Linked DNA regions of Pelodiscus sinensis. The protein of the gene in region 3 interacts with the protein of the main gene of each other region in a biochemical or structural test. Links are inferred from orthologs where the notes say so. Each region holds a gene or a part of one and is shown on either strand. Other genes may lie near its edges. The genes, in order: FGF10, PLCG1, FGFR2 and FGF7.

Evidence for each region.
Region 1: the proteins of FGFR2 (region 3) and FGF10 are reported together in a solved structure, tested with the Homo sapiens proteins (3 studies listed by BioGRID and IntAct, with this or other methods). The link is inferred for Pelodiscus sinensis from reciprocal best matches to the Homo sapiens genes FGFR2 and FGF10.
Region 2: the proteins of FGFR2 (region 3) and PLCG1 form a complex in vitro, tested with the Homo sapiens proteins (2 studies listed by BioGRID and IntAct). The link is inferred for Pelodiscus sinensis from reciprocal best matches to the Homo sapiens genes FGFR2 and PLCG1.
Region 4: the proteins of FGFR2 (region 3) and FGF7 form a complex in vitro, tested with the Homo sapiens proteins (3 studies listed by BioGRID). The link is inferred for Pelodiscus sinensis from reciprocal best matches to the Homo sapiens genes FGFR2 and FGF7.

Annotation. Positions count from the first base shown.
Region 1 is NC_134716.1:101,213,798-101,221,655, reverse strand, and holds the start of FGF10 (fibroblast growth factor 10 precursor), read right to left. Parts: upstream 3,011-7,858; 5' UTR 2,721-3,010; coding exon 2,393-2,720; intron 1-2,392. UniProt on the Homo sapiens protein: Plays an important role in the regulation of embryonic development, cell proliferation and cell differentiation. Required for normal branching morphogenesis. May play a role in wound healing.
Region 2 is NC_134728.1:25,001,148-25,008,535, forward strand, and holds the start of PLCG1 (1-phosphatidylinositol 4,5-bisphosphate phosphodiesterase gamma-1), read right to left. Parts: upstream 3,022-7,388; 5' UTR 3,004-3,021; intron 2,770-3,003; exon of another isoform or gene 2,495-2,769; intron 2,489-2,494; exon of another isoform or gene 2,098-2,488; 5' UTR 1,945-2,097; coding exon 1,743-1,944; intron 1-1,742. UniProt on the Homo sapiens protein: Mediates the production of the second messenger molecules diacylglycerol (DAG) and inositol 1,4,5-trisphosphate (IP3). Plays an important role in the regulation of intracellular signaling cascades.
Region 3 is NC_134718.1:57,071,685-57,078,530, reverse strand, and holds the start of FGFR2 (fibroblast growth factor receptor 2), read right to left. Parts: upstream 3,022-6,846; 5' UTR 2,899-3,021; intron 1-2,898. UniProt on the Homo sapiens protein: Tyrosine-protein kinase that acts as a cell-surface receptor for fibroblast growth factors and plays an essential role in the regulation of cell proliferation, differentiation, migration and apoptosis, and in the regulation of embryonic development.
Region 4 is NC_134724.1:21,760,900-21,768,037, reverse strand, and holds the start of FGF7 (fibroblast growth factor 7), read left to right. Parts: upstream 1-4,138; 5' UTR 4,139-4,909; intron 4,910-5,478; 5' UTR 5,479-5,783; coding exon 5,784-6,069; intron 6,070-7,138. UniProt on the Homo sapiens protein: Plays an important role in the regulation of embryonic development, cell proliferation and cell differentiation. Required for normal branching morphogenesis. Growth factor active on keratinocytes.

The DNA.
Region 1 (7,858 bases), on a different chromosome or scaffold from region 3:
ATGAATGACTTCATTTAAGCACTCTCAAGTTATTAATTTTGAAGAAACGGTGCCCTTCATTTATTTTATGTATACTTAGCTGACTGCAAACTATAATAGTTTTGTAGTTCTGAATTAATGCTTGATTTACATCACTTGATGATTACCTGTTCTGTTCATTCCCTCTGAAGCACCTGCCATTGGCCACTGTCAGAAGGCAGGTTACTGGGCTAGATAGACCTTTGGTCCAACCCAGTATGGTCGTTCTGAAATTTTATGTGCTCGGGGAAGGGAGGGGAAAACAGGTAAACAAATCTGTGTTTTATTTAATTTTGGCAGTACAGACAAACATTCTGCAACTCTGAAAATATCTATGTCATGTCAACAAGAATATTAACTACCTTTTAATTTTCTTATGTGGTGGGTGAAAAAGAAAAAGACCTGGGCATAATGCCAAGTGGAGTAAGGGGGAGTTGCTCTGGTTTAAGGAGGGTAGGATTGGGGCTCTGAACATGTGTTTCCCTTTACGTTCTTTCCTCAGTCAGGGACTCTTCTTGCAGGCATTTACATGTATAAGTAACTTTACTCAAATGAATAGCTGCAGTGATTGAAATAGAACTGCTTAAGAAAAGTTACTTTCATATATAAATGTATGCAGACAGTCCCTTAGTACTTCCAGTTCTTCCTGAAGCAATATGCTCAGAGAAAACCTATTTACTTAACAATAGAAGTGTACACAAACATTCAGAAACACGTCTGAGAAACACAGTAGTCTTTAGAAGCATAGTAGTTTCTATTAAGAAACATGGTCCACAGTAACAGCTAGGTACAGACAAAATGAAGCCTTCAGCATATGATTGTATCTAATAAAACTTTTCTATGAAAACTAAAAGACTATATGGTAAAGCCAATCTGCTTTGACAAATAAAGCATTACTAACATAGGTCTAATACTACAGAATTAACAGCTGTGATAATATAAAATATTAAAATAAATTGCTAGCTGTAGCAAGTGGAAGCAATGATACAAGAACGCAAATGAAAAAAATGCCAGTTATGGAGGTGAAAATAAATAATGCAAGGACTGGAGGATTAACTGTCATCTTTTTAAATATATAACACTTCATCCTGCCAAACCACACTCTGTACTTTACTTACTGTTCAAGCAGCTCTCATTTATCTACCCATTTGTTTTTAGTTTAGCACCGTTTCTATCCCTAGGTATATTTGGATTTACAAAAACAACCGAAACCCAACCCGTTGCTTTTCACCAGTAAGATCAAATAAAGTAGCTTTTCTTAACCATTGGTATAGCAGAGCCTACCTTCTTCAACACAGGGATGTAGCCATTGAAACTTACACTGCTATATATTATGCTTTACTACCGTTCCTCCCCTTCAATTTGAGATTATTCATTTCCTTGTCTGCACAAAAATTACATTTCTCACGACAGTCTACCAAAAAGTTATGAATGTTCTATTATTGGAAGCCTAATTAGCATTTAGAGAAACGTTCACTGTCTGGGGTAAACTACAAGTCTTGTGACTTTTACTTTGAAAATATTTCTTCTTTAAGAAACTATGACACTGAAACGAGTGTGAGGTCTGCATTAGTCCAGCCCCAGATGTTTACGATGCAATAGCAGTATAGCAGTGCTGCAACATGAGAGCTTTCCGAAGAAAGAAAGGAGTGCAACAGGACAGCACAAAGCAGCACATATGCTATTGACAACGCAGACATGAGCATCATATTACCAGAGAGAAGGCAGGGCAGACACAAAATAACAGCAGTGGTGCCTTAAAAGTTAACTTCGTGGGCTGCAATCGCTCAAAACCCAACAACATGTAGGGGCAGAAATCAAAATCAGAAAAACACTTTTCACTGGATGGGGAGTGAAAGGATGGCGGGAGGAAAGGGGGGAGGTGTCAGTAAATCTTGTGGAGCTTAAAGGGAGGTGGGGAATCAATGTATTGTTTTAAACTTGAGTTTACATCAAGCCATTCTAATGACAGGGGATAATTGTTTTCAGACACAGTAGAAAAGAGCCTCTCCCTCCCCCTTCTCGCCCCCCTTTACAAATCTTTCTAATTTGCTTTTCTGCCAGCCCGGGAAACCAATTGTGTTCACTCAAACCATTTGCAAAACAAATTTCTAGAGGGAGAGGAGATGTGCCGATATGAGAAGGATGCAGGGAGCAGAGTCAAAAGAGACCTCTACTCCACCTCTTTCTGTCACCTTCCCAAGCAAGTGCTCTTGAGCAGGAAAGGTTTGGCTGGCAGGGTGGCATGTGAGCAAACGAGATGCACTGGTAGTGAGGTGATGCTGGGATGGCTTTTTGGGAGGGAGGAGGGGGTACTGATTTGGCTCCCTCTGGATGGTTCAGTTCCCAGGGGGTGTGGGGAGTCAGTACTTACTGTACGGGCAGTTCTCCTTCTTGGTCCCGCTGACCTTGCCGTTCTTCTCAATCCGGAGAAAGTACTTGTTATAAGAGTAGAGCTTCCTCCAGCGGACATCTCCCTGGAGGTGATTGTAGCTCCGCACGTGCCTCCCCGCGCTGGAAGGAGAGGAGAAGGATGAAGAGGAGGAGGATGAAGAAGAAGCGTTGGTGGCCTCCGGGGACCGCATGTCCTGGCAGATGACAGACCCAGAAGACACCAAGAAGAGCAGCAGGAAGAGGCAGCAGCCGCAGCAAGGCAGGTGGGAAAAGGCTGAGGCACCATTTGTCAGTATCCATTTGCACATTGTACTGAAACGCTGGGCGCTGGAAAATGTCTCATCAGAAGAAACATACTGGAAGGGTAAAACCCGGTAAAAGGCAAGTGGGGAGCGGGGGGCTGCTGCTTCTGGTTAGAGCCCTCTGAGCTCTGATCTGGCCTGAAGTGAGTACACCAACATCCATAACTCAGGGGACAAATCGCCTCAGAAGTTGCTGCCTTTTAATCCTCCGAGTCCTCCCTCACAGAAGAAAGTTGGTGGGGTTTTTGTGTGTGTTGGTGGTGGTGGTGGTGGTTAATCCTCTCTTTTTTCTCTCACCCCCCTCCCCAACCTGGTCTGAGGCTTCCCCGTGGTTAATTCGTTCTCTTCCTCCCTCCTTCCTTTACCATCTTAGATGCAGAAAGGTCTGAAAAATAGATGACAGCAGTGAACGACAGCAAAAACAAATCATGAACACAACCCGGGGGGGGGGGCACTGGAAGGGGTTTCTTGCCCCTATTCTCCCCCTCCCTCCCCACACACTTGATGGTTTTTGCACCTTCTGGTTTCCCCACCCCCTTTCCTTGGCAAAGCCCAAGCCAGTTGTACAACTCGTCCCTGCTCACTGACAGCCCCGAGGAGGCAGTTCCTTTGTTTTGCTTTGAATCCTCCAGAAAGTACCAAAAAGAAAAAAAAATCCAGAGAGAAAACTCCTAACTTCTCTTCCCCCGTCTGGTTGTAAACAGGTTGGAAGCTGTAGCCTCAGTGCATGTCAGTGATTACAAGCAAGAGGTGGGATGTGCCTCTGGTGGTCAACCCTTATTTGCAGGGGGTCAAGCAGCGGTGGGACATCTGAAACCCTTCTGCAGCTGGAGTGAGCAAATGCTTGCTGTGGAGGGAGCCTCCGGAGGGAACTGCCCTTGCTTCCTCCCCGTCTGCAGCAGCAGCAGCCGCCTTCAGCTCTTCGCTAATTGCTCCGAAAGCGTTCTCATCCGAGTGCTGGCCACCAGCATGGCTTGGAGACTCATGCTTTACTAATTTCCCTGTCTTCCAGGCTGAACCAATCCCCTCCAGGGAGCCCCCCTTCTTTTCCTTCCTTTTTTAAGTACTTGTTTTCTAGCGCGGGATTTTATTTTATTTTTTTGGCAGTGAAGTGCTTGAAAGAACCACCTGGAGCTCGTTTCTCTGCTGCTTTCCGCACTCCCTCTCTGGGCTATAGAACGGATGGGGGGGGGGGGGGGAAGACGGGTTAGAAGCATATAGTGCAGAGGCAAGCCCTGAAAAGTTACATTTTATGCTGGTCAAGGAGAGTAAAGGGGAAGAGACATAATTAGCTCCCTTTCCTTCCCCTCTGCCAGCTTCCAGGGAGGTCTCTCCCCTGCTTTAAAGTATCACTGATTTCTCGCTTCCGTTGCTAAAATAAAAAGTTCACACTTTAGCCTACTCTTCCTGTAAAGCCTCTCAAGATTTATCGTGTCTCCTTCTCTGCTCACCCTCCTTGTCTCAAATGAAATCGGGGATCTAAATGACCTAACATTTCTAATTACTAACATGAGTCATTGACTGGATCACGCGTCGGACTTCAAAGAAAAGGGGGCTTTTATAGCGATGGCAAAGTTTTCCCCATAAAATCTGTCTGAAAAGTTTTCTGTGGGTTTCTTTTTACCAACAATTACAGGCACCCCCTATGATGTACTCATTTTTATTACTTAAAGGGGGATCAGGGAGTAACTCTGCTCGTGAACATTCCTTGCACAATATATTAATTGTGCCTCAGCATTCACTGATGTAAAATCATTAGTATAAAATGCAAGATAAGGAGTCACAATGAAATAAAAGAATAGATTACAGACGGGAACTGACATGTGGAAACAAAGTGGGTTATCCTGTGCATAAACATGGAACTCGGCTGAAACAGGCATAGGCAAAGGAAATTATGCTGATCAATAGACTACAAGGGAAAAACAGCATCAGCCATTATATTGTGTATTTGGAATCAATCTTACCTTGAACAGCAGAAAATATATAAAAGACAAATAGTTCTAAAATTAGATTGATTAATTAGGCTGGGCTTTTTAGTATATTGTTAACATCACTGTAGAAAATTAGAAATGATTTTCTCCAATTATGGTGTTTACCCTGTTGCAAAAGAGTCAGTTCTTAAATTTATGTGTTAGATTTAGTGGGTGACATTTAAACAGCCTTAAAATAGAACCATTTAATGCTATAATTAATATGTTTTATAGTGTTGTTTATGTTACTCCAGAATATTTATTTTTCATATTTTACTGTGATAAAGACTTCAGAACATTTTCAGGCTTATTTTGATTTAGGATTTTTTTATAATCTTAAAGAAAAAGACTAACACGGCGACATCTCTATTCTATTCTATTCTATTCTATTCTATTCTATAATGAATGTCTGACAAATTAAAATGTGGCTACCATGTTAATTTTCAGTTTTCTAGCTCATAGTTTTATACCTGGGTTGCCTCAGAAGGATCTGTGTTTCAGCCAGATTTTCAGCTGATTCTAAAAATTTAAAATGACAAGTAATTAAAATACATGTCTTATAAATTGTACATTTGATTAACTTTGTTCTAACAAATATCACAAAATCAGCAGCATTTTTTTTTTTAAAAAAGAGTTTCTCTGTAGTGGGAAGAAAAGTAACAATAGAAGCTTAAAATATTTTTAAAGCCTCACACATGAATTTTTTGCTCATGTGAGAAATTCTGCTAAGATCTATTTGTAACTTCTCTTTGGTTTCATGAATCAAAAATAAAAATTGAAACATTAGAAGTTTCATACTTAATCTAGTTCTGGCAGGTGCAATACTTAGTGCAGTACTTAAAACCACTACAACAGATAGAGTCCTTTTCTATACTGTGTGATGACAGGGAGGGCATTTACAAAACAGAGCCCAAATGAAAAGCCGACATAGCTTTTTAGATTATATCTCATTCCTTTTTCTACTTTCTGTATAGCCTTTCTTTTATAGCACAGTTGAATCCCTAAATACCCCACTACTTTGTATTGTTAGGTCACCTCTTAGGTTAGCCTGAGAAAGCCTGAGAAAAGTTCCACAGGAAAGATGCACTATTTAACGGAATTCAATCTGTCCCAATAGATTTGAATCACTAACATAAATGTATGAATGTAGATTATATCTCTGTAATGAGGCCTGAATCATTCTCAGTTACTTCAAAGGACTGAAATTCAACCTTCCTTTTTAGCAGCAACAATCAGACCTTAATGGGTTCCTTTATTAATTGTTCCACTGCAAAGTTTGAAAAGGAACTAACTTCAGTACAGGTCCTACACTAGAAGTGGTACCTACTGCTTCTAAAACTGTTTCTTTTTTTGCCTCCAGGCTCTTTATGATTTTCACATAGTTTATTTTGTGGCATTCTTATAAACATTCATTAACATCGATTCATCTACATTGAAACAAGCAAAATAGTAGAAAACATTTTTCAGGGTGTTGTTTCAGCAGATCAATTTTCCTAAGAATGTTGGGAGAAATGAAGTACATGCAGGAATTTAAGTTGAAAATATCCATGACAATTTTCTAGCCTCAGAGGGCTGTGTCACATTTTTCTTTTGACAGTAGAGATCTTTTTTACCATATGAATTGCAAGTGTTCCTGTTGCAAGACAGAAATTCATTCTTGAATTCAAAGAATACTCAGGCTTTGCCTATTTTTTATTTCCCTCAAACTATCATCTTTACTTGGTGTTGTCTTTAAGTCTGCAATGTTATTGTCACCATCTGAGTCCCAGGATATGAAACAAAGTGGGTGAGGCCATGTCTTTACTGGACCCATTTCAGTTGCTGACAAGAACAAGCTTTCAAGTTTGTTTTAGGTAATAAACTTGTCAGAGGGAGAGCTCTGTGGAGTTTGAAATTTTGTCTCTTTCACCAACAGAAGTTGATCCAATAATAGATACTACCTCACCCACCTTGTCTATCTTATATCTTTAAGTTATTTTAGCCAGTCGCTCTGGAATACAACCAGATGTTTGTGCAGACTTCGGACTGCTGGACAGTAATCGAGACTATTTGCTGCATTATAATTAGAAATGTGTATTCACCTTATAATCATTAGATTCAATCCTGCTCCCATTCTAGTAGATAGGAATTTTGCCAGCTACTGCAAGGAAAGAAGATTTGATCCAGCGATGTCATTCTTAGAGTGCTGCAAAAATGATGTAGGGAATGCTGTATGACGGTCATGAAGCAAAAAATGCAGTCTGTAGGCCAAATGGAGGCTGCAGAGTTTTGCAGCATGGTATATGATCAATTCCGCTTGTACAGAAGTGGTATGACAGGTAGAATCTCCAAGTCCCGGTAGGCAATAAATACTCTGTCTTAATCTGAGGCAGGCCTGTCAGATAGAGCATTGAATGCTGGATTGTTTACACCATAGGATGCAGTCCCATAAACTAGGGAAGATGTGGGCTGTGGTATTTTCTGTAAGTTAAATTAAGGTTTATGATATGTCACCTTTACGGTTTTCCTATGGGTATGCTTTAGTATAACAAAAATTCTCTCTGTCCTTTTATAGCACTTTTCTGTACATCTCAAGTGCTTTGCAAGAAGGTGAGTAAACATTATTATTCCCATTTTCCATGTAGTGTGCGGTACAGTAGACACTCAGAGTTATAAACACCTTGGGATTTGAGGTTGTAATTCAGAAATGTTCTTCACTCTGAATAAAACATTATGGTGGTTCTTTCAAAAGTTTACAACTGAACACTGGCTCAATACAGATTTGAAACTTTACTATACAGAAGAAAAATGCTGTTTAATTTAAATGAAACAAGCTCAGTATATCTTGTTAAATTTTAAAAGTTTCCTTTTATTTTTCGCAGTTTAACACAGTAGGGTACTATATTTGCTGTTTTTTGGAGGCGGTATCTCTGTCATTGCTTGCTTGCCAACTTCCAGGTCCAAATGATTTGTGTGGTTGATGATCAGTTTGTAACTCTGCTGTTCATAAATCTGAGGTTCTACTGTATAATGAACCTCAATCTAATCCAGTGAGCAGAGCCAGCCCAAGCTACGGGCTGACCAGGCTACCACCCTGGGGCGCCTTATTGTAGGAGGTGCCGCGCGGGGTTGCGAGACCGGGCGAGGGTGGGGCCATGTATGTGCTGGTGCCCGGGGGGTGGAGCCATGCATGTG
Region 2 (7,388 bases), on a different chromosome or scaffold from region 3:
TTTCCTGCCTCGGGTGCTACATGTGAAAACAGAAGATTTTATTGGATTGCCTTCTGTAAAGATTTTTTACAGAGCTTAGCTATCCCTCTGATACAGAGGTGCTGTCAGTAAAGATATCAAGAGAATCACAGACTTCAGTCTTATCCTAAGTCTCTGCAGTCATTAACCAAGATGAAAGTTAAATATCACCCAGCTTTCTAGAGTGCTATCTAATTTCTACAGCACCCATCACCATAGTATCTAAACACTATTAAAACCACTATTTACTTATGATCCATGCGAACTGATCAAATAGCAGATGGTTAGCTTATGGACAGAAATGTGTCAGACTGCAGAAACCAGATATCCTATTAATGATCAAGCTCTGGTTCAGGAAGGAGACAGGAGAGAACTGCTCTTCTTGAGAAATCAATGTCGATGCTCAATTTGTACTAAAAACATGGCAGGGACACAGATACAAAAAGGACGCACCCCTGATTTTAGACCCAGCCTATCCTATTTTTATGGGAACCAACTTGATACCAAATGACAGTCCCTACTAATAATGCATATCAGACTACTAGCCATATTAGTATTTTACAATTTAGCTAGTACAGTTTATGAGAGGATTACAACATATCAATCCATCACGCAGTTAGTTGTGTCAACATCTGCTTATGTACCTGCAAGTGAGAGAAATTAGGCACTAATAGCTTATCTGGCAGATAAGCGTTCTTGTTTTGCAGATTATCATCAAGCTCCAGGAAAATGAAAAGCAGCAGAGGAGTCACTACCCACAATGTTAATTTTTCAACTGTATCTGGCACAGAAATCCATCTCTCCAGCCATCCACTGCTTCAGGTATGACCTCACTGCAGTAATCAAAATCAGGGCTGGACCTACCAACTCTGTCCATAACTTTAAATACCAGAGTAAACAAAGCAACCAACTACTTCATGGCTTTAAGATAAAAATTAGGTCTGCAGACAGTCAAGAATTTCCATGTAACTGGCTAGACTACTGTCCTCTTAAGCAGGCATGGATAATAAAAGGAGTTTGTATCTACATGCAGCACAGCTCCCACTCAATCAACACACAAATCAAAGATGGTAGGATATATGGGCAAGGGAATACAACTTGCTAAAAGTGGAGCAAGAGTTAAAAATCCAATCACTCTCCAAAGGCTTCAGCCGTTTTTGGATCATTCGCTTTTGCAAGTAAAACACAAAAACTTCACTGTAATTTCTCTCTCTTCTCTCCCCCACCCCCATCTCCCGCGCATGCATGCACAGGTACTCAAGACCATGAGAACCTAGATACATTAAATTACAGTAGCAAGAATGGATAAAAATACTTTTAGTTTTTTTTAAAATCCCGAGGAAACAGGAAATCTATTTTTCCTCTTACGTTATGCTGCAATTTTAGGAGGTGGGGCAGGAGACAGGCAAAATAAGAAGGGCCAAAACAGATTGTCAGATAATCAAGACAGATGCACTTGCAATTCCACTCTCAGATCAGTAATGTAAATGGGGGGGGGGGGAGGAGAGAGAGAACAGCAGGCATTTTTTAAAATGGATATTTCTTTAGGACAACTTCCACTGCTGTATCTAGTTCCCAGGGCGCCTCACTTACACCGAACGCAGCCCGCCTCCGGCCCATGCCAAGCGCCAGGCACCCGCAGGCTCCTAAGCCCTGCTCCGAAAGAGGAACGAGACGCAGCCAGGGTTAGCCGTTTAAAGAGAAGAAGGATCCAGGCAACTTACTCGCCCCTTCGACCTTCTCCGAGCCCCGGCTCCAAGTGATCTGCCGCGTTTCGAGCTTCACCTGGAAAGTTTTCCTCTCCGGCCGCTGGGATTTTTTGGAGTAAAACAAAGTCATGACGGTGCCCACTTCCAGGCTCCGGCAGAGGTGCACCACCTCCGCTTCGCTCGGGACGCCGGGACCATTGGAAAAGGCAGACGCCATGACGCCCTCCGCCGCCTCCTTCCCCGAATGCGGCGAAATCTCCAAACAAAAGGGAACTGCCGCCCTCCACGCTCCCCGCTGGTGGGACTCAGCGCGCAAACAATCCCCGCCGCTGCTTCAGTGCATGGCGCCGCGGGGCAGGGCTCTCCCTTCCTACGGGGGGAAGGGTGTTTTACTGGGGGGGAGGCTAGAAGGGCAAACGCACAACCCGCTCCCGTCCCCCGCTCCCGGCTCTTCGCACTCCGCCGAGCCGCAGAAACTCGCCCCTCTCCCGCTCCGAATCATGCACCATATTTGTTCTCCTTCCCGAGCGGGCTCCAAAGCGAAAGCGGGCGGGCACGAAGCATTCCCCGGCCCCGCGGCTTGCAGAGCGCGCCCGGGGGAAGGACCCTCGGGCTGCCTTGCGCTGTGGGGCCCTCGCTTACAGTCCGTCCCCCCCGCACGAGCTCGCTTTCCCCCGCAGCTGGCGGCTCGCCCCCTGCCGCGGCCGGAGCCGGATCAGCTCTCCCGAGAGCTCGGGAAGAAAGGACTGAAGCAGCCAGCAGCCTGCCTCTTTCACCCTCCGGGGCTCTTCCGCGCCAGCCGCAGCGGGGATTACTCCGGCCCCTCCTGCTCCCGGCACGTGCATTAGGAAAAGGAGGCCCCCTCCTCCCTCCCTTTGCCAGCAGAGCCGGGAATGGAGCTTCCGCGGGGCAGAGCGCGGATCAATGGTGCGCGCTGTCAGGCCGCGGGTTTTCCGCCCCTGCGGGCTCACGTGCCCCCTAGGGCAGTGCCATATGGCGAGCGCGCAGAGGCGACGGTCGCTCCTCTCTCCCTTAGCCCGCCCCCTCCCAGCCTTCGTGTAAAACAAAGCAGAGCGGAGGAGCCAGCGAGCAGCTTCTTAAAGGGACCAGGCCCTTTCCCTCCGCCCCCCGCCGGTTACCTCGTCTTGGGTGGGGGTCTCCGCTTCCTGCCGCCTCCACAGAGGGGCGCTTCTAGCGGGAGAGGCCTGGCTGGGGATCCGCTATCTCACACACATCCGGGAGGGGCATGCAAGTGAGAGGCTGGAGGGGAACCCACCTGTAGGGCTGGGAGAAAGGGAGAAGGAAAGCGGTCCCCAGTCCAAATGGGCTCTGGGAAAGCGCCCCCTTTCCCTCTGCACAGTCACATAGACAGCCAGTCAACGAGGTGCTGCTCAGGGCTAGTGGCAGTCTGGCAGGGGGGATGCCTCCTTCTCTGCTCACGCCAGCCCCATGGCTTGGCTCCCAGGCTGGCTCTGCTCCTCCAGCTGCAGAACAAGGCTGTGTCCTCCTACGTCATCGTGCTGGCACACACACCTCACCCGCCAGGGCTGAAGGAAGACCAGGGAGTTGAGAAAGTGGACAATTGGATCAGGACCTATTACTGGGTCCCCAAACAGGGATACCTAATGCCAGCTATCTGGGGACGAGCACAGCAGAGCCCCCCCTGCAAGCCACATGCACATGCAGCAGCTTCTAGGGCTGGTGCATGAAGACCTTCCCTGTCAGGGCTTCTCCCACATATTGTGACATTCACACGGCTCCCCACTGGTGTGTTCTTCCACGCTCTAGGAGGATGATGAGGTCATAACAAAGAATCCCTCTGGGCTGAACATGAGCATGAGACTACCTTTGTGTTAGGCTAGCAGGACAGCAGCTCTGAGGAGATTCAGGGCAGGGGGCCCTGGAGTTCGATGGACAAGGGGCAAATGGGCAAACTGAGAAGGGAAAGGCCTGAACTCACCCACCAGGTCAGTGGCCAAGCCAGGAAAAGATCAAGAATTCCTGATCTCCCATCTAGTGCCCTTACCAGTAACTGCACTGAAAGTGGCACTGGTCTGGGAGGCAGGAGGTCTGTGTTATCATCATTGGTATTATAGTAGCACGTAGAGGCCCTAATTCACGCTAGGGCCCCATTGTGCCAGGGGCTGCACAAATGCACGGTAAGGGGCAGTCCCTGCCCTGAGGAGCTCCCAAAACAAGACAAAGTGTGAGAGGAAAGTGACACCAGCTCCATTTGACTAACAGGGAACAGCAAGACAAAGAAATTAAGCCTCAGATGCTCAAAGGTATTTAGGTGCCTGACTCCCATTGGTGGCTAGCCCACCATTGATATCAATGGGAGTTAGGACCCTAAACACCAATGAGCCTCAGTGGCTTGGCCCCCAGCATAGAGAGAGTCTGGGGCAGAGGAGGGACTGAATGCAGCTCTTCTGAAGCACAGACAAGTCCCTTAATCAAGAGCCCATCCTGTCTGTCTGTCTTTTCCCCTCCACCTGTGTCCACTAACCCCAAACCGGACACAGCTTCCTTTGCCGGTCTGCTCCATGCCATAATGTTTCGTGCAGAGGAGAGAGCAGCTGTCCTCTTCATGCCAGGTTTGTGTTAGCATCCGCTCGTGCCAGGCCAATTGTGCAGTGCTACATCCTCATTCAGGCCAGTGGCAGGAAATTAAACAAAGCGAGGCTTAGTGTGGGGATAAACAGTTGCTTTAGAAAGTATTTAAGGGCTGTTTGCCACTTTCATTCTTTGGAAGCCCCCTGACTTCCCTTGTCCTCCTCAACCCCAAATCAGCCAGACACAACACGGTGACACTGGGGCAGGGCAGGGCAAGTTTTCATCAGTCCTGGTGGGGTTTTAAGGATATATCAGCTTTTTGCTCTCATTAAATTGGTTAACAGCTGATTCCTAACAGCATTTGCATAACCAGCACAGGGAATGCTAATAATGCACACACTTTTTAAGCAGTAATTGGTAAGAATTACTGTGGTCCAGTTTTAAAGGCTGGTCTATCTTTTGCTCCTTACACAAGAAAATAAACAGCATTGGCACCGTGGGAGTCCACATCACCCTGTCTACTTGAGGCCAGGCCTAGCTATATACATACTGCTGCTCCGACTGAGTCCTACAACATAGAACACAAGAGGGCTCACTACTATTTAAAAGAAACAAAATACAGGACTATGTAGCACTTTAAAGACTAACAAGATGGTTTATTAGATGATGAGCTTTCGTGGGCCAGACCCACTTCCTCAGATCAAATAGTGGAAGAAAATAATCACAGCCATATATACCAAAGGATACAATTTAAAAAATGAACACATATGAAAAGGACAAATCACATTTCAGAACAGAAGGAGGATGCGGGGGAGGGGGAAAGGAAGGTGAATGCCTGTGAGTTAATGATAGAGGTGGGGAAGGGTAGATGTCTGTGAGTTAATAGTATTAGCTATTATATAATTGGGGAAGCTATCTTTGTAATGGGTAAGATAGCTGGAGTCTTTGTTCAGCCCCCCGCGGAGAGTGTAGAATTTTAGCATGAATGCCAGTTCAGAGGATTCTCTTTCAAGTACAGATTTGAATGTCTTCTGAAGTAGGATGCAGGTGAGCAACCAGACAACTCTCCAAATGTGATTTGTCCTTTTCATATGTGTTCATTTTTTTAATTGTATCCTTTGGTATATATGGCTGTGACTATTTTCTTCCTCTTCTATTTGATCTGAGGAAGTGGGTCTGGCCCACGAAAGCTCATCATCTAATAAACCATCTTGTTAGTCTTTAAAGTGCTACATAGTCCTGTATTTTGTTTCAGCTACACCAGACTAACACAGCTACATTTCTATCACTATTCTACTATTTAAAAGGATATTCCCCAGTTACTATACTTCACAGCGGTGGTGTCCACCATGCTAGCCACATGTGGCTATTTGGCCAGCTGAGTGTGGCTAGTTTGCTATAGCAGTAGCCACTGTAGTGACAACTGCTTCAGAACTGGTTGGACACCATGGCTGCGTCTAGACTGGCAAGTTTTTGCGCAAAAATTTGCCAGCTGTCTACACTGGCCACTTGATTTTGCACAAAAGCACTGATGTTCTACTGTCTGAAATCAGTGCTTCTTGCGCAAATGCTTTGACATTCCCGTTTGGGCAAAAGACCTTTTCCGGAAATGTTTTTGCGCAAGAGGGCCAGTGTAGACAGCTAAAAACTGTTTTGCGCAAAAAAGCCCCAATGGCGAAAATGGCAAGCCGGGCTTTCTTGCGCAAAACCGCGTCTAAAAAACTGCTTTTGCGGAAAAGCGTCCGTGCCAATCTAGACGCTCTTTTCTGCAAACGCTTTTAATGGAAAAACTTTTCCGTTAAAAGCATTTGTGGAAAATCGTGCCAGTCTAGATGTAGCCCACGGCTGTACAGAGACAGGGAAGGAAAAGCCAATGAGGTTAAGGGCCTGCCCCTACTAAAATAACTAGGAAATGTTGCCCTTCATTGCACTGCAAGTACAATCAAAGCTTAGTATGATGTGCCAAATATGGGAGAGGAATTGGTTCCCAATGCCAGGTTTGAAATTCCTAGGATTCCTGGCACCCAGATCTGTGCTCAGATCACTAACCCAGGCTTTATGCAGTACGGCCCTGTTTCAGCACGCCGCAGCTTGTCATTAATGTCTCTCCCAAACCTTTACTAGCATAACAAAAATACAAATCCTGCCCTTCCCATTTTGATAGGGAGGGACAGCCTTGGGTAAACACAACTGGCGCGGTTCTGCTGGGGCACAAAGGTGCAGAAAGTCCTAACTGCGTGTGGTTCTGAAGCACAACTCCACGGAAACCGACTATGAACCACAACTGCTGAGATACGCCAGCACATGCTTGAGCTACCACAGTACTGAGGCTGCAGAGCAGCAATGCTGCTACTCCCTGGCCTATGGGCAGATCTTTTCCCTATCAGCCCACACAGGGAATTCCTTCTTCCAGATGGGGTACTGAGAGCAGGTGCACAAAAGTCAGCCTGACTGTGGCAGGAGCATTCTCCAGAGTATCTCCATGTGAAACATTATCCAGTTGCCATGTGCAATCATGATATTTGCATGTGCAGTTAGGCATGCATTTTGCACATGCAGCTATCAGGAATTCTGCATGGGTTGTTGTTTTTTAAAACATGCTGTTCATTGGCAAAAGAGAGAGTTTCTATTTACAGTCACAAAGTCAAATGTGACATGAAATTACCTGCACTGGTGTGTGAGGAAAAGGAGTAAGCAGCCGGATAAAACAGAGGTGCTTTGTACAAATCTTCAATGTACAATGGTCTCAAAATGTTCCATTTGGGATTCAGACCTGGGGGAGGCAATGGTGTAAATGTGAACTACTTGATGAACTGGCCCCAGGAGGGCTCGGCCCCAGGATTTTCTTCACCCAAAGCATGAACTGCTAGTTCTTGAGTTAAAGAGCAAAATCCCCTCAGTTGGCAGCAGTAACAGAGCCATTACCCTCTTCTGTGGACAGTTGCCTTCCCAACATCAAACCAGAGACAGCAGATTAAAAACCTCAAACTTGCTTTCTGGAAGGCTGCAACGTAACAGCCGTTAGTTCCTACATTCCAGAACCGTAACGCACACGAAGCAAAGCAGGCAGAGAGGCACTGGTCACCCCACTTTACTTCTGGCTGGCTC
Region 3 (6,846 bases):
CAAATACTATTTTAAGTGAGTGGAAAGTGAGCAGAATGAAGTTCTGGAGTATATTACACTATGCAATTTCATCTATGGTATTCCTTGGCAAACTACCACCTGGCAAGATACCATAAAGGCACCCAACTTTACATGCAAAAGATGGAACCAAAGCATTGCAAAAACCCTCTGGAAAAGCTTGTATTGAATGTCTTCTAAGCTAAGGAAATTTAATTTCATAGCAAGTTTCTTGGGGGAAATAGGTAGGGAACGAAGATCGTCATAGATGACAATTTGGAAGTGTCATGATTATGAGAGAGGGCTAGCAGCCGGGGGACTAATGGGTTAACCACACTTAGCCAGGTGGAGTGGCCAATAGAAAAGTAGGTAGGACTTTCAACTGGGACAAAGGAATTTTGTTTTTTCCTCCTTTGCCTCTGGGGGGTTTGCTCTGCAGCTACTGAGAGAGACAAGATTGTCTCTCTCTCCCTCCAAGAAAAGACCCTTTCTTCACTTTCTGTTAGTAGGGTAAAGTTTAGATAAATCCATTAGGTTTTATTGTTTTCTCTTTAGGGATGAGGTCTGATGTCTGTGCACACTTCAAGAAATGGTTGGTTTTTCTCTGTAACTAAGTTCTAAGCCCATGGAGTTTCTCCATGAGTATATCATGTTACTTTTCCATCTAGGCATTAAGCTTTCAACAGGAATATTGTTGTGATGATAAATGTTCTCTTTTTATAGAATCATAGAATACTAGGACTGATAGGGACCTCTAGGGGTCATCAAGTCCAGTCCCCTGCCCTCATGGCAGGACCCAGTACTGTCTAGACCATCCCTGATAGACATTTATCTAACCTACTCTTAAATATCTCCAGAGATGGAGATTCCACAACCTCCCTGGGCAATTTATTCCAGTGTTTGACTACCCTGATAGTTAGGAACATTTTTCTAATGTCCAACCTGAACCTCCCTTGCTGCAGTTTAAGCCCATTGCTTCTTGTTCTATCCTCAGAGGCTAAGATGAACACGTTTTCTTCCTCCTCCTTATGACACCCTTTTAGATACCTGAAAACGGCTATCATGTCCCCCTCAATCTTCTCTTTTCTAAAATAAACAAACCCAATTTTTTCAGCCTTCCTTCATAGGTCATGTTCTCTAGACCTTTAATCATTCTTGTTGCTCTTCTCTGGACCCTCTCCAATTTCTCCATATCTTTCTTGAAATGCGGTGCCCAGAACTGGACACAATACTTCAAGGCCTAACTAGTGCAGAGTAGAGCAGAAGAATGACTTCTCGTGCCTTGCTCACAACACACCTGTTAATGCATCCCAGAATCATGTTTCCTTTTTTTGCAACAGCATCACACTGCTGACTCATATGCAACTTGTGGTCCAAGCTGAATTATTAACCTGGAATTGGTTAATCGTGTGCCCTGATTTTTACTTTAGGGGTGAGATTTCCCAAATGATCTTTCCCTTGATTGCTTTATTTATATTTGGGTGGTGGCAGCGGAAGTTTTATTCCCAAAATTTAGGGTTTTAAGATTTTGGGGGGAAGTTTTGTACCAAAGCCTGGTAGATAAGGTTTTGGGGTACACTTGCAGGCCCCCACTTCTGCATTTATCATGCCAGAGTGGGGAAGGAGCCATGACAGGAACACTTATTTTATTTTTCATCTCAAATACTAATATTTTTACATTTACTATACGAAGGGGGATTCATTAAACCAGAGGGTCTCAAACTTCATTAGACACACCCCCTCTTCTGACAATAAAAATTTCTACATGACCCAGGAGGAGAGACCAAAGTCTGAGTCTTCCTGAGTACCAGTGCCCTGGGGTGCGGGGCCCTGCAATCTGAGTCCCAATACACAGAACTGAAACCCTCAAACATTGGCCTTTGGGCCTTGGTTATGAGCGACGAAGCACTATGGCAGAGGATAATTCAGTATAACATATAAAACATTATTTCATAGATTTTCTTAGGTTCATAAGACTGGCCCCAGGTCTTTTGACAGGTCAACTAAGTCCAGTCCCCGCACTCACAACAGGACTATTCTAGACACTCACTACAGCAATGGAGAGGTGGACTCACTACAGCAATGGGAGAACTTCTCCTGAGAGGCAGTAGCTAAGTCAACAGAAGAATTCTTCCATTTATCTAGCACTGTCTACACAGGAGGTTAGGTTGTATTTTTTCATCCTCCTGAGAGACATAGCTATGTCAATAGTGATAGAGATGTAGCCGTGTTAGTCTGGTGTAGCTGAAACAAAATACAGGACTATGTAGCACTTTAAAGACTAACAAGATGGTTTATTAGATGATAATCATCTAATAAACCATCTTGTCAGTCTTTAAAGTGCTACATAGTCCTGTATTTTGTTATAGCTATGTCAATGAATGATTCAAGTATTGATCAGCCCTTATTCCCATTTGACAGACCAGGAAACAGACACCAGAGTGGTAACTTTTCTGAGGCCATCCAGCAAACTGGTGACAGTGTCAGGACTAGAACATGGTAGTTCCTTGCTCCCAGTACTGTGTTCAAACTAGCCTTTGTTCTAAGATCCTTCCCCCTGGAATTTACCCTGAAAACCACTTTCACGGAACTAACAAACCTATATATTCCCTGCGTCCCCCACTGTTCAGCAAATAAAACAAAATACAATATAAATAAATAAATATTAAATCAAAACATCCAGTCAAAACACAAATGCCACAATAGACTCAGCACAGCATGTACATGCAAAACTGCTGTTTTCACCAGAAGCTTAGGGTATAGAATTATGTATTATATGCAGTTAGGAATCTGCAGGAAAATGTGCTATGAAGATCCTTTTCCATGACTGTCCATGAACTACAATTCACAGAAGGTTTATGGTGTTGGACAAATACAACGTGAAAATAAACTCTACGATACCTGTTTGCTTTCTTCCATTGAATAGGCAAAGGCTAAAAGAATGCCAAACACTCCGTCAGGGAAAGCTTTGCTTCAATAGGTGTGTCTAGGTGTCTTGAACATGTTGCTGCTTGACAGGTCTCCCTTTTTGTGTGGGTGGTGTTCACATAAAAAGACAGACATGAAACTCAGAAATGATATCACAATGCAAAGTTAACTCATGGCATGCCTTAGGGCTGCACAGCACCAAGTAATACTCAGCAAAACAATGCTTGTCATTTCTTTCCTTTGGAAGTCATAGCATCAAATTTACAACAAAGTTCATTTAGCCATTAACCTGTGAAAAGCCCTCATTCTCGGGTGCATGGGGAGAAGTGAAAAATATTATTGGGATGGTTTTGGAAGGGTCAGACCTCCGGGTTTCTGAGAAGAAAGAGATAGTGAATTTTGAGGGCTAAGTCTAGATTAAAACAAGGCATTTGCTTCATTTCCAGCCATCCATGTAGATGTACTAGTTCAAAATCTTCATTCAGGCAAGGGGAGATAAGATTCATACCCAAAGAGCTCATTTCATGTTGAAGCCCTAATAAGCACAAATTGCACCTTTCCTTGTGTGTACTGAGGCAGTGGTTTTAAACTACAGGTTGCAGCTCAGGATTGAGTAGCAGAATGTCTGGCACTGGATCTCGTTGATGCAGTGTGGTCAGTGAGGGTACTAACGCACCCTTCCCACCTGTCCTGGCTCTGCAGACTGCACTGCCCCCCAGAAGTGGCCAACAGCAGGCCTGGCTCCTAGGTGAGAATGGGGGGCAAAAGAGTGCACAGGGCTTTGTGCATTGCTTCTGCCCTGAGCACTAGCTCCATGATCCCAATGGTTAGAACCTGCTACTGGCTGCTTCTGGGGTGCAACATAGTCTGTGGTGCCAGGACAGGCAGGAAACCTACTTGTACCGCTGCAGCACTGACTGGGGGCCACTCGAGATAAGCTCTTCCTGGCCTAGCCCTGCTGCACTCCCAAAACTGAAGCTCTCATCATCAGCCCACACTTTAGTCAAATTATGTTGGGTCACAGGCATCAATTTTCATCAGCTGGATCATGAGAAAAAAGTCTGAAACCCACCGTGCTAGAGATCACAAACTACTGATTGCTGGAACTGGGAATTAGCCCCAGCATGACCAGCACATTAGTGCTGTCATCCTTGTGTTTTAAACAAAGGAAAGGGGGACAAGGTAGTAAGCACACCTGTTGCCTGGAAGCTGCCTTTCGTTTCCATGCTCTGGTCTTTGTTAGCAAACAGTATAATAAGTAAATATGTTTTGGTTTTGTCTGAGGCAGCTACAACCTCAAGATTTCCACATCTTCTGGTCCATGTTATTTTCAATTTTAAAAAGCTGTATTTCTTGGCCTGGTATCACAGAGAGTGAAGACAGACATTTGTGGGGAAAATGAGACTGAATTCATGAAACCAAATGGCTGTGGGACTGGTAGAGATACCAGGTGAGATTACGTGTAAGTGGTGCAGCACAGAACTCACTGCTTCTGGGGAAAGGAGTGCAAATGGCTTTAAGCCATCGTGGACCCTCCTGTTCCTGGGCTGCTCCAGGGGAAAGAGGCCTCTCAAGTACTTTAGCAGCCCTCCAGGTCTGTGCTGTGGGCTGTAGAACTACCAAAATCTCAACAGCATTGTGTACCACTATTTTTAGGGGCTCTCTCAAGCAGCATTAGCACATGTATGTCTACCCAGGGAATGACACCTCCCAGCTGCTGCATAGACATGCCACTTCAACGCAGTCCAGGTCAACTATCAAACAACGTTACATTCCAAGTCATTACACCATTAAACAAGATTGTGGTCTCATTGCAGTTTCTAGTGGACAGATATCAAGATCGTAGGATGGCAAAATTAGGACAAATTGACACCTCTAATGGTCCTTTCTGTGGAATGCAAGGAGGGAATGAATAGGTATGGAAACTGAACTGCTACACTGTGCTATAGGATGGTTCTTCAGTCCCAGGTGAAACACATTTCTGCAGACACACAGGCAGTTTAACATGCAGCTGCATGTGCTGTACCTGTTCCACAAATAAACAGAGGTTTTTAGTTGTCAGACTGCCAGTCCAGCACTTTACATGATCTCTCTACTATAAATTTTAATGATACATCTAAAGGATTCCACTTTATTTAATAAGCAATATCTTTAACAGTTAGTTGTGCTTGATTTCTTTAAAAAAAACTAGGACAGCGAGAGTCAAAACAAAATTTGATCCAAAATGTATATTCCTTTATGGTGGGAAAGAACTATTTTTTAACTCTCAGTGGCTGACAGGAAGCACTTTCCTCTGCAGACAGGACAGTACTGCGGCTATCCAAGAGGCTACGGTGAGATCATCACTGTCTTTCACCACCAGTAATGTGGCAGTGCTCATTAGGTGAACTGAGTGTCTATCCTTTGTCCCAACACAGTACTTAATTAGGCACATGCTTAACTTTAAATATGGGAGTATCTCATTGGTTGCCACAACTCACATGGTTTAAATATAAACACAAAAAATGCAAAAAAAAAATCTACTTGTGACATTTCAGGATGAAAAGGCAAGGTAAGAAATGTTTCTAGTTCCCTAGAGTTATATAACAATTAAAGAAAAGGAAAAGCACCACTTTAAGGAAAGTAAAAGTAAAACAGTGAAAAATAAAAAAAATAAACCCAGGGACCCAAGAACTTAAACAAGGGTCCAGTTGAACACAAAATCCTGATAAGGACTCACTCATGTCTAAGCAAATGAATAAATATTCTTACCCATTCTCTCTCCTTATCTGGTAAGATGTTTCTAACAAAACCTGTTTTCAGAATAAAGATATTGGTGATGTTTTTATTGCCATCATAGTCCATCCAAGATGATGCATCTGGTTTGAGAGTCACAGAAATATTCTTGTTAAAAATGCTGCCAAAAAACCTAAATGAAAACAGCACACCCATTTTGCAGCATTATCAGGATTTTTTTCCAGGGGGTGTTTATATGGACTAAGATTCATTTAACAAGGCAAAAGTTGGAGCTTTCACATACTACATTATGTCTCTGAAGGTTCTCCTGACGAGGGTTAAGTCTTTATACCACTTCCAAGTGAAGCAGCCAAGAAAAAGAAGAAACAAATGCTGCTGCTGCTGCTACTACTACTGAGTACAGAGGCCTCCTTTTCAAGAAATGTGATTTATGGAATGAAGTTCCTGGCATGTCTGCCACAGGGTGTCACAATGTGTGTCTAAAATCCAAGGCTGAAATATGATCCTTATTCCTTCCAAAACACATTGTGGCTTCTAGCAAGTTCTTTTGAAAATTATAAGCAATCTGTTTCTCAGGAGGCTGTATTCTTTATGCCTCTTACATTATGAAGGGTGTATTCATTATCCCTTTTCTTTTTCAGACCTACTTAGAATATTTCTGGGGAATCAGAAGAGGTTTCTTTCTAATTTCATGTGAATTTAGTGGTTGTGAAAGCTGCTTTATAAAACCCTAGACACTTGTTCTTTTTTCTTTCTTGTTAACCAAAGATCTGATACAATTTGGACAGCAGCAGAGCAAATCACTCCACACTGCCATATCTACCTCTCGATACAGACCAAAACACCTCTCCTTGTCAAAGGGTAGCCTCTCAGCGGCCCATTCGTGTGCAGTAGATACTTGCCCACTGGGGAACTGGAGGGAGATCATCAAAGTCAGTTCACATAAGTTATCAAATGGTGACTAATAACTCAAAATCACTTCTGACCTTGAGCTGAATTTGAACTGTTCATTTAAAGAGCTTCAACACCTAATGCTCAATCTCTCTATTCTCTTTCATTTGGGGCAAAAGCTTTATATTAACCTTTTCCTAAATTACATTATGTATCTGCAATATATTGTGTGTTACATACTTGTCTCTCACTCTGCTACTTGCTGTGAAGCACTGATTCTTTCAGAAACTCAGA
Region 4 (7,138 bases), on a different chromosome or scaffold from region 3:
ACGCCTAAGTGAGTTGGAGGAGGCACTATTTGCATCATTTTCAAGGGTTCAGCCTTGCAATAGGCTATACTATAGGGCTATTCTTGAAGTCTACCTAGACACTTAAGATCAAGTAGAACTTGCCCCCTTTGAGGGGCAAGCTGGCATGACAAATAATACCTGTGCTAAAGTCTCTATTTGTTTCCTTTCACTTCTGGCTTGCCACTTCAGATATCAATGGAGATCTTTAAAGACTAGAATGGTTATTCAAGACATTCTCAACTTTGCACCTTTGCATAGCAGTACAGGTGGATGAGTGGTTCTCTCTTAGACCCTAAATTTAAAAGCTCCACCACAGACAGCAGGGGGCTCTCAGCTGAGTGCTCCCTCTTTAGAATTCACTTTTCTTGGTAATTTCTCATGGCCCACTATTAGAGATCTTGTGGTCAAGTCCTCAGCAGATGTACATCAGCATAGCTCCATTGACTTCAATAGAAGTATGTCAGTGTATAGTAGCTGAAACCCTAGCCCCATTTTATTCAGTGCTTTACTGACTGATTTTCTTATATTCATAATCTTACTTTTCAAAAGTTGTGATTGATTCACTATTGGAAGTGCTTAGTTGTCACTACAAAATAAATTATAGAAATTAACACAATCAATATATCACAAGAGCAGCTTCCCCACTTCCTGTCCTAACCACCAAAATTCCAGATACCAGAAGAACCATTTGGAAGGAACTTATTATAAGACTATTCTATCACTGCAACAGGGACAAATTATTTCAATCCATAAATGCCAGGGATGGCACTCCCCAGGGCCCTTGCAGGTGAACTGTACTAAAAGCCACTTAAAGTGTTGAGTGGAACCATTTATGTTCCAGGTATTGTGGGCCAGGATGGGTGCATGCTACTGGGTCTCTCCTGAAGGAATCAAAACATGAGAATGGGCATTTGTTGATAGCATATAGTAGCATCAATTGGACTTTTTGATCATCTTAATTTCAGGATCTGGCCTGAAATCCACAATGATTTTGAATGGGTTTCACATGTTAGTAGGGACTAACTAGTCAGAAATCTTAGGTGACTGAAGACATTTTGTACCTTTTATACTTCCTCCCTCAATAAATAACTGCCATTATGGTGCATTAATCCATAAATGCAATTACTACATTATTATTAATTGTTCAAATCTAGAGTCAATTTGTCACTTAGATGTTTGGTCCTCTTTGTCGTTGTCCTTTCTGGGCTGGAGTGTGGTGTGGCTCTCATTTTCCTACATGAGCCTCCTTTTCTCTTCATTGTTAAAATGTATATTTGTAACAATTATAAAAATACTCTAAGGGTATGTCTACACTACAAAGTTAATTCGAACTAACAGACATTAGTTCGAATTAACTTTGATAGGCGCTACACTAGCGCTCCGCTAGTTCGAACTTAATTCGAACTAGCAGAGCGCTTAATTCGAACTAGGTAAACCTCATTTTACGAGGACTAACGCCTAGTTCGAATTAAGGGCTGTGTAGCCACTTAATTCGAACTAGTGGGAGGCTAGCCCTCCCCAGCGGCCACTCTGGGCACCACCAGGGAAACTCATCTGCCCCCCTCCCGGCCCCGGAGCCCTTAAAGGGACACGGGCTGGCTACGGTGCCCGTGCCAGGTGCAAGCCTTCCAGCACCCAGCCAGTAGACCCTGCACCTGGCACGGCTCGAGCCAGCCACCTGCTGCCACCCAGCCCTCCACCTCTTCCTGGGACCAGGCTGGCGACTCCCGGGAGCCTGCCCGGGTCCGCAAGAGGCGGGCGCCCCCCTGGTTTAGTGCGGAGATCGTGGTCCTCATCCACGACCTCTGCACTAGGCACAGGAAAGTGGCCATCTAGGGCAGGGGAGCTGCCAGCCTGGCCACCCGGGAGCAGGTTTGCATGAAAAATCAGGGTGGTCCACTGAGACCCCCGACCCTGAGCCCTGAGTTTAGAATGTCCGTACTGGGTCAGACCAAAGGTCCATCTAGCCCAGTAGCCTGTCTGCCGACAGTGGCCAACACTAGGGACCCTGGAGGGGATGGACTGAAACAATGACCGAGCCATTTGTCTCATGCCATCCATCTCCAGCCTTCCACAAACAGAGGCCAGGGACACCATTTCTACCCCCTGGCTAATACCACTCCATGGACCCAACCTCCATGACTTTATCTAACTTCTTTTTAAACTCTGTTCTAGTTCTAGCCTTCACAGCCTCCTGCAGCAAGGAGTTCCACAGGTTGACTATTTGCTTTGTGAAGAACAACTTTCTGTTATTAGTTTGAAGCCTGCTACCCATTCATTTCATTTGGTGTCCTCTAGTCCTTCTAGTATGGGAACTAATGAAGAACTTTTCTTTATGCACCCTCTCCACACCACTCATGCTTTTATAGACCTCTATCATATCCCCCCTCCGTCTCCTCTTTTCTAAGCTGAGAAGTCCCAGTCTCTTTAGCCTCTCTTCATGTGGGACCTGTTCCAAACCCCTGATCATTTTAGTTGCTCTCCCCTCTCCCACCCTCTCTCTTCCCCTCTCCTACCTCCTTTTCCCAGTTTCCCCGAGTTTTGTTCAATAAAGAGAGTTTCTATTTTTGAACACACGTGTCCTTTATTTTGTACATCAGGAAGGGGAGCTAGGGAGGGGTAAGTGGAAGGAGGCGAGGGAGGAATGGGGTACGAGCCCCCGATGGGGAGGACTGGGGTGGCTCTGCGGGCTGCTCAGGGTGGAAGTTCTCCTGAAGCCCCTTGATTGACCCCCCCCTCTGGATGGCAGCCTGCGGCAAGTGCAACCGGGCTGATGGCCGAGTGCTGTGATGTGCCGAGTGTGGGCACTCAGGGCACTCCAAGCCAGGACTGCTTTGCAAGAGGGGAACCCCTGAGAACTGTCTGTCCGGGGTGGGGGTCGGGTCCCTTTAAACACAGCCCTCGGCTAGCCTGAGGCAGCAGCTCCACACTCTAAGTCCTAATCTGATGCTCTGCCGGCACTGCTTCCGGCCATCCTTAACCTCAGTTCAGGGTCCACTCAGTGTGGATATGCTAGTTCGAATTAGCAAAACGCTAATTCGAACTAATTTTTAAGTCTAGATGCATTAGTTCGAATTAGCTTAGTTTGAATTAACTAATTTGAACTAAGTTAGTTCGAATTAGTGCTGTAATGTAGACATACCCTAAGAGAGTTAGAAAATAATTTTCCTTCACTAGTATGGAAGTATTTTCATGTAAATAATTTTTCTTTCAGGTAATAATAATAAAATAGAATTCCTGGGGTTCTACTCTCATACTCTACTTTGAGTAAATCTCACTGATATCAAGTGAGCACCTAGGGAGTGCTCCAAGGGAACTCTGAGAAAAGCTGAAGCATCAGAACTTTGTGAAGGGAAGTTACTCATATCCTCTGAGTTTGCATGTGGTTTGGGAAGATGGGAGGGCAAGCATGGTGACATAGGGTCCTCTGATTTCTCCCACCGGTGAGTAATTTGAAACACTCCAAAGTCATGAATCATTAAACCCTTCTCACCATTAAGTGGCATACATTATCTCTTACTGTTCTTAATGGCTATTAACTAGCTCAAGTTTTCAATCAAGTTTAAGAATTCCAATACACTAAATTATTCCCCACCTCTCCTGAGAAAGTTGTGGATCAGGGTACCCATAGCTATGTTACAATTACAATACTATTTTCAGAAATCTACAAATACAGGTAAGCAATTTCCTGTTTAGGACAGTGCATTATAAGATTTTTCCATTCCTGTTTTCTAAAGTATTGCAGAGATGTCCTGTAAGATAAAGAATAGAATCAAACAAGATTAAGAGGCTTGCTATGCTTAATGAATACCAGAGTTTCAACATGTTTTGTAATTGCTGGATTTCACCAAAATCACAAGAAGATTTTAAGGATGACATGGAGCAGAGATTTTTGGACAGCAGACTCATGCCAAAAGTAGAAAACAAATATGTAGAAACAGCATAATAGGTAGCTGTTATATTTGCCTCCCCAAAACTTAAGCCTTTAGATGCACGCTAATGTGTGCTAATAATGTGCTAATATGGATAACATCTGTACCACTGCAGCTTTTAAATCTTATGCTGCAATTTCTAGTAAGTATTCATTGGGGGAAAATTTGGAATATCATTATTACATTTTTCTCCAGGTGCTGAAAAAGGTCTAGACTGAATGCTAGATTTAGAACATACATTGCACTTTGTCCACCACAGTCATGAAATAGGCACCTTCTGTATTTTGTATGCAGTTGTTCCTTATTTACACGTCTACAATACAAAACACGACACACAATCCATAATAGACACCATGCCTCCCACTTTCACTAAATAATGCATCCAAGTATTTCAGATATCTAAAGGGAAAGTCTGTAAGAAAAGTATGTAGCCATTAATCTGTATAAACGATTTGGAGGAGAAATGCATGTGTGCATTTAAGGGAATACTGAACTAAATCAAAGAAAAGAAACATTTTAACTGACATGAAAATAAATGTTACCCAGTGATCACAGAAATCTGTTTCTGGAAAGTAGGTACATACTTGGAGATTTAAAGCATAAAGTATGTTTATAGCTCCCTCTGATGACCATTGGACACTACACAACATAAGTCTTCTTTTATTTTTGTTCATGCATTCAACTGACAGCTGACTGGTTAAATTCTAATTGCTTCCAAGTGAGGTCAGCAAAGGTATTTATCGAAAAGAACTGAACAACAGGCTCAACACATACACGCGCATGCACAAGCACATACACACACCACAACTCTTGCGTGTTGATTTATGGAAACAATTATAATTCTGCTGAAGACTTTCTGAGCTAAGAAAGTTTGTAGCTACGGCAGAGAGTCTCATGTTGCAAAAGGCAGACAACAGAAATGGAATACTTGTATACCCAGCTGTTATCAGGAACAAGTAAGTTATCTATCCTTTAAAAGTATGTTCAAGGCATTGTAACAACTAATAACTTTTTCAGTTTTCTTGATTGATGTATGTTAGAATAAACCTTCTTGACATTTTCTTTAAACATCTACAAGTAACTGAATTATGTATAATATATAAAAATAGAGTCCCATGAACATTTGGTCTGTCTTTACATTTAAACTAGAGAAGTGTGGGCAGTTCTCTAGGAAGAATGTGGCTAACTCCAAAGGTATAGGCATGAAGTAATCAAATGTAAGAGATGCAATAGCAGTCTACTTAGTTCAGTAGCTCAGCTAAATCAATAGTTTTCTTTTTGAAAGCCTTATTACTGAAGTACAAAGAGAGAATTGTACATAGTTCAAATGAGTGCTGCTATCAAGATCTCATAGTAGATATGTCTTGCATGTGGGCTTATGTATGTTTTTTAAGACGTTAACAGTGTCACTGCATAAAGCTAAAAAGGTTTTTTTGCTACGCTACAGTAGTCATACAGCATATATTACAGTTGCACACGTGTAACAATTGACCATAAAAATTTATCCATGACACTTTTCTCATAGATCTTTTACTTTCAGTGCAAGCAGCAAAATCAAGTAGTACAGAAGGTCATGACAGCCAAGGTTATTATAACCTGTTTCTTTAAAGGATATCCTGACTGAAAAGATATTTAAGGAGCTATCCTGTTTCAACATCAGTAACTATTAAGGAATAAGGATCAGAATTCTGGAAGAGGAAGCAATCTCAATTAAATCAATCTACAACTCGTTGTAAAGACAGAAGGCAGGTCAATGACCTAGAAGCAACGATCTACTTGAGATTTAATTTTCATTATGTTGTTCATGAACACCCAGAACACTGCACTATAATGCACAAATGGATACTGACATGGATCCTGCCAACTTTGCTCTACAGATCATATTTTTACATTATCTTTCTAGTGGGCACTATATCTTTAGCTTGCAATGACATGACTCCAGAGCAAATGGCTACAAATGTGAACTGTTCCAGCCCGGAACGACATACCAGAAGCTATGATTATATGGAAGGAGGGGATGTAAGAGTAAGAAGACTTTTCTGTCGAACACAGTGGTACATGAGGATTGATAAACAAGGCAAAATAAAAGGGACACGAGAAGCAAACAACAACTACAGTAAGTAATGTCTCTGCATTTGAAATTTGTATTGAAAGATTTTAAAATGTGGCTTTTTATCCCTTCATTTATGATGCTTTCACAATAATTTTGTAAAGTACAGTGACCATTCTATTAGACATGTTTTCCAATTAATCATGCAGCAGGACATTTGGTATTGATTTTGAAATGCGTCACTTTAAATAATACGTTACCAGTATGTTGTAGATCTACCAATGTATTAGTTACAGCTGGTAGCTATTAGCAAACAGAGAGCGTATTTTAACAAGTGAATTAAGGTTGTACATCTGCAAAAATATAACCACAAACTCTATGCTCATAAAGTACTTATAAAACATTAAACCACATTTATATAGGACGCAAATGATCTACAAGCTCAGTATGTGTGATTTAGCAATAAATATATATTCAATATTAGAACATTTAATGGAAAGAATTATTAAAATTGTCTTGCAAAACCAGTTGGACAATTTGCCGGCTAGGAACAAAATTTATTATAGCTTTTACAGCACATTATTACTATAATAATGACAAAATATTCTCTTCTCTCATTTCTAAAAAAGTTCACCCACCCGGAGAGGGTGGACATGTAAAATTTTACAATTATGCTTTTAACATGAGCTAATGGTTTTTTATAGTAATCCTGATTCACCTATATCAATATTTAAAATAATTTTCATATTTTGCATGTGCTGTTCTTACCAATTTGACAATTTATATACGGTATTGCAAATTTAGGAAAATATCACAACTACTTCAAGAAAATTGGTGCGTGATTTCTTTAATTCAGAACAAAATAAAAATACAGAGAACTATGTATTTTAGTGCTTAAAATGAGAAAAAGTACAAAATAATTATTGCTTTAGAGTGTCAGAGGCATCTGTTTTTCCAGTGAATAGTGTTTATAGGCATCTTAAACATCAAAACTCTGACCTGTGATGTTTAAAAATGTTGTTGGGTTACTTGCCATATAAATTAGGAAGCATTATATAATAGCCAAAAGAAAAACAAAGTGAAAGAGTTTGTAATATGATTGGTCATTTTCAGTTGAAAATTTATTTTCCCTCCC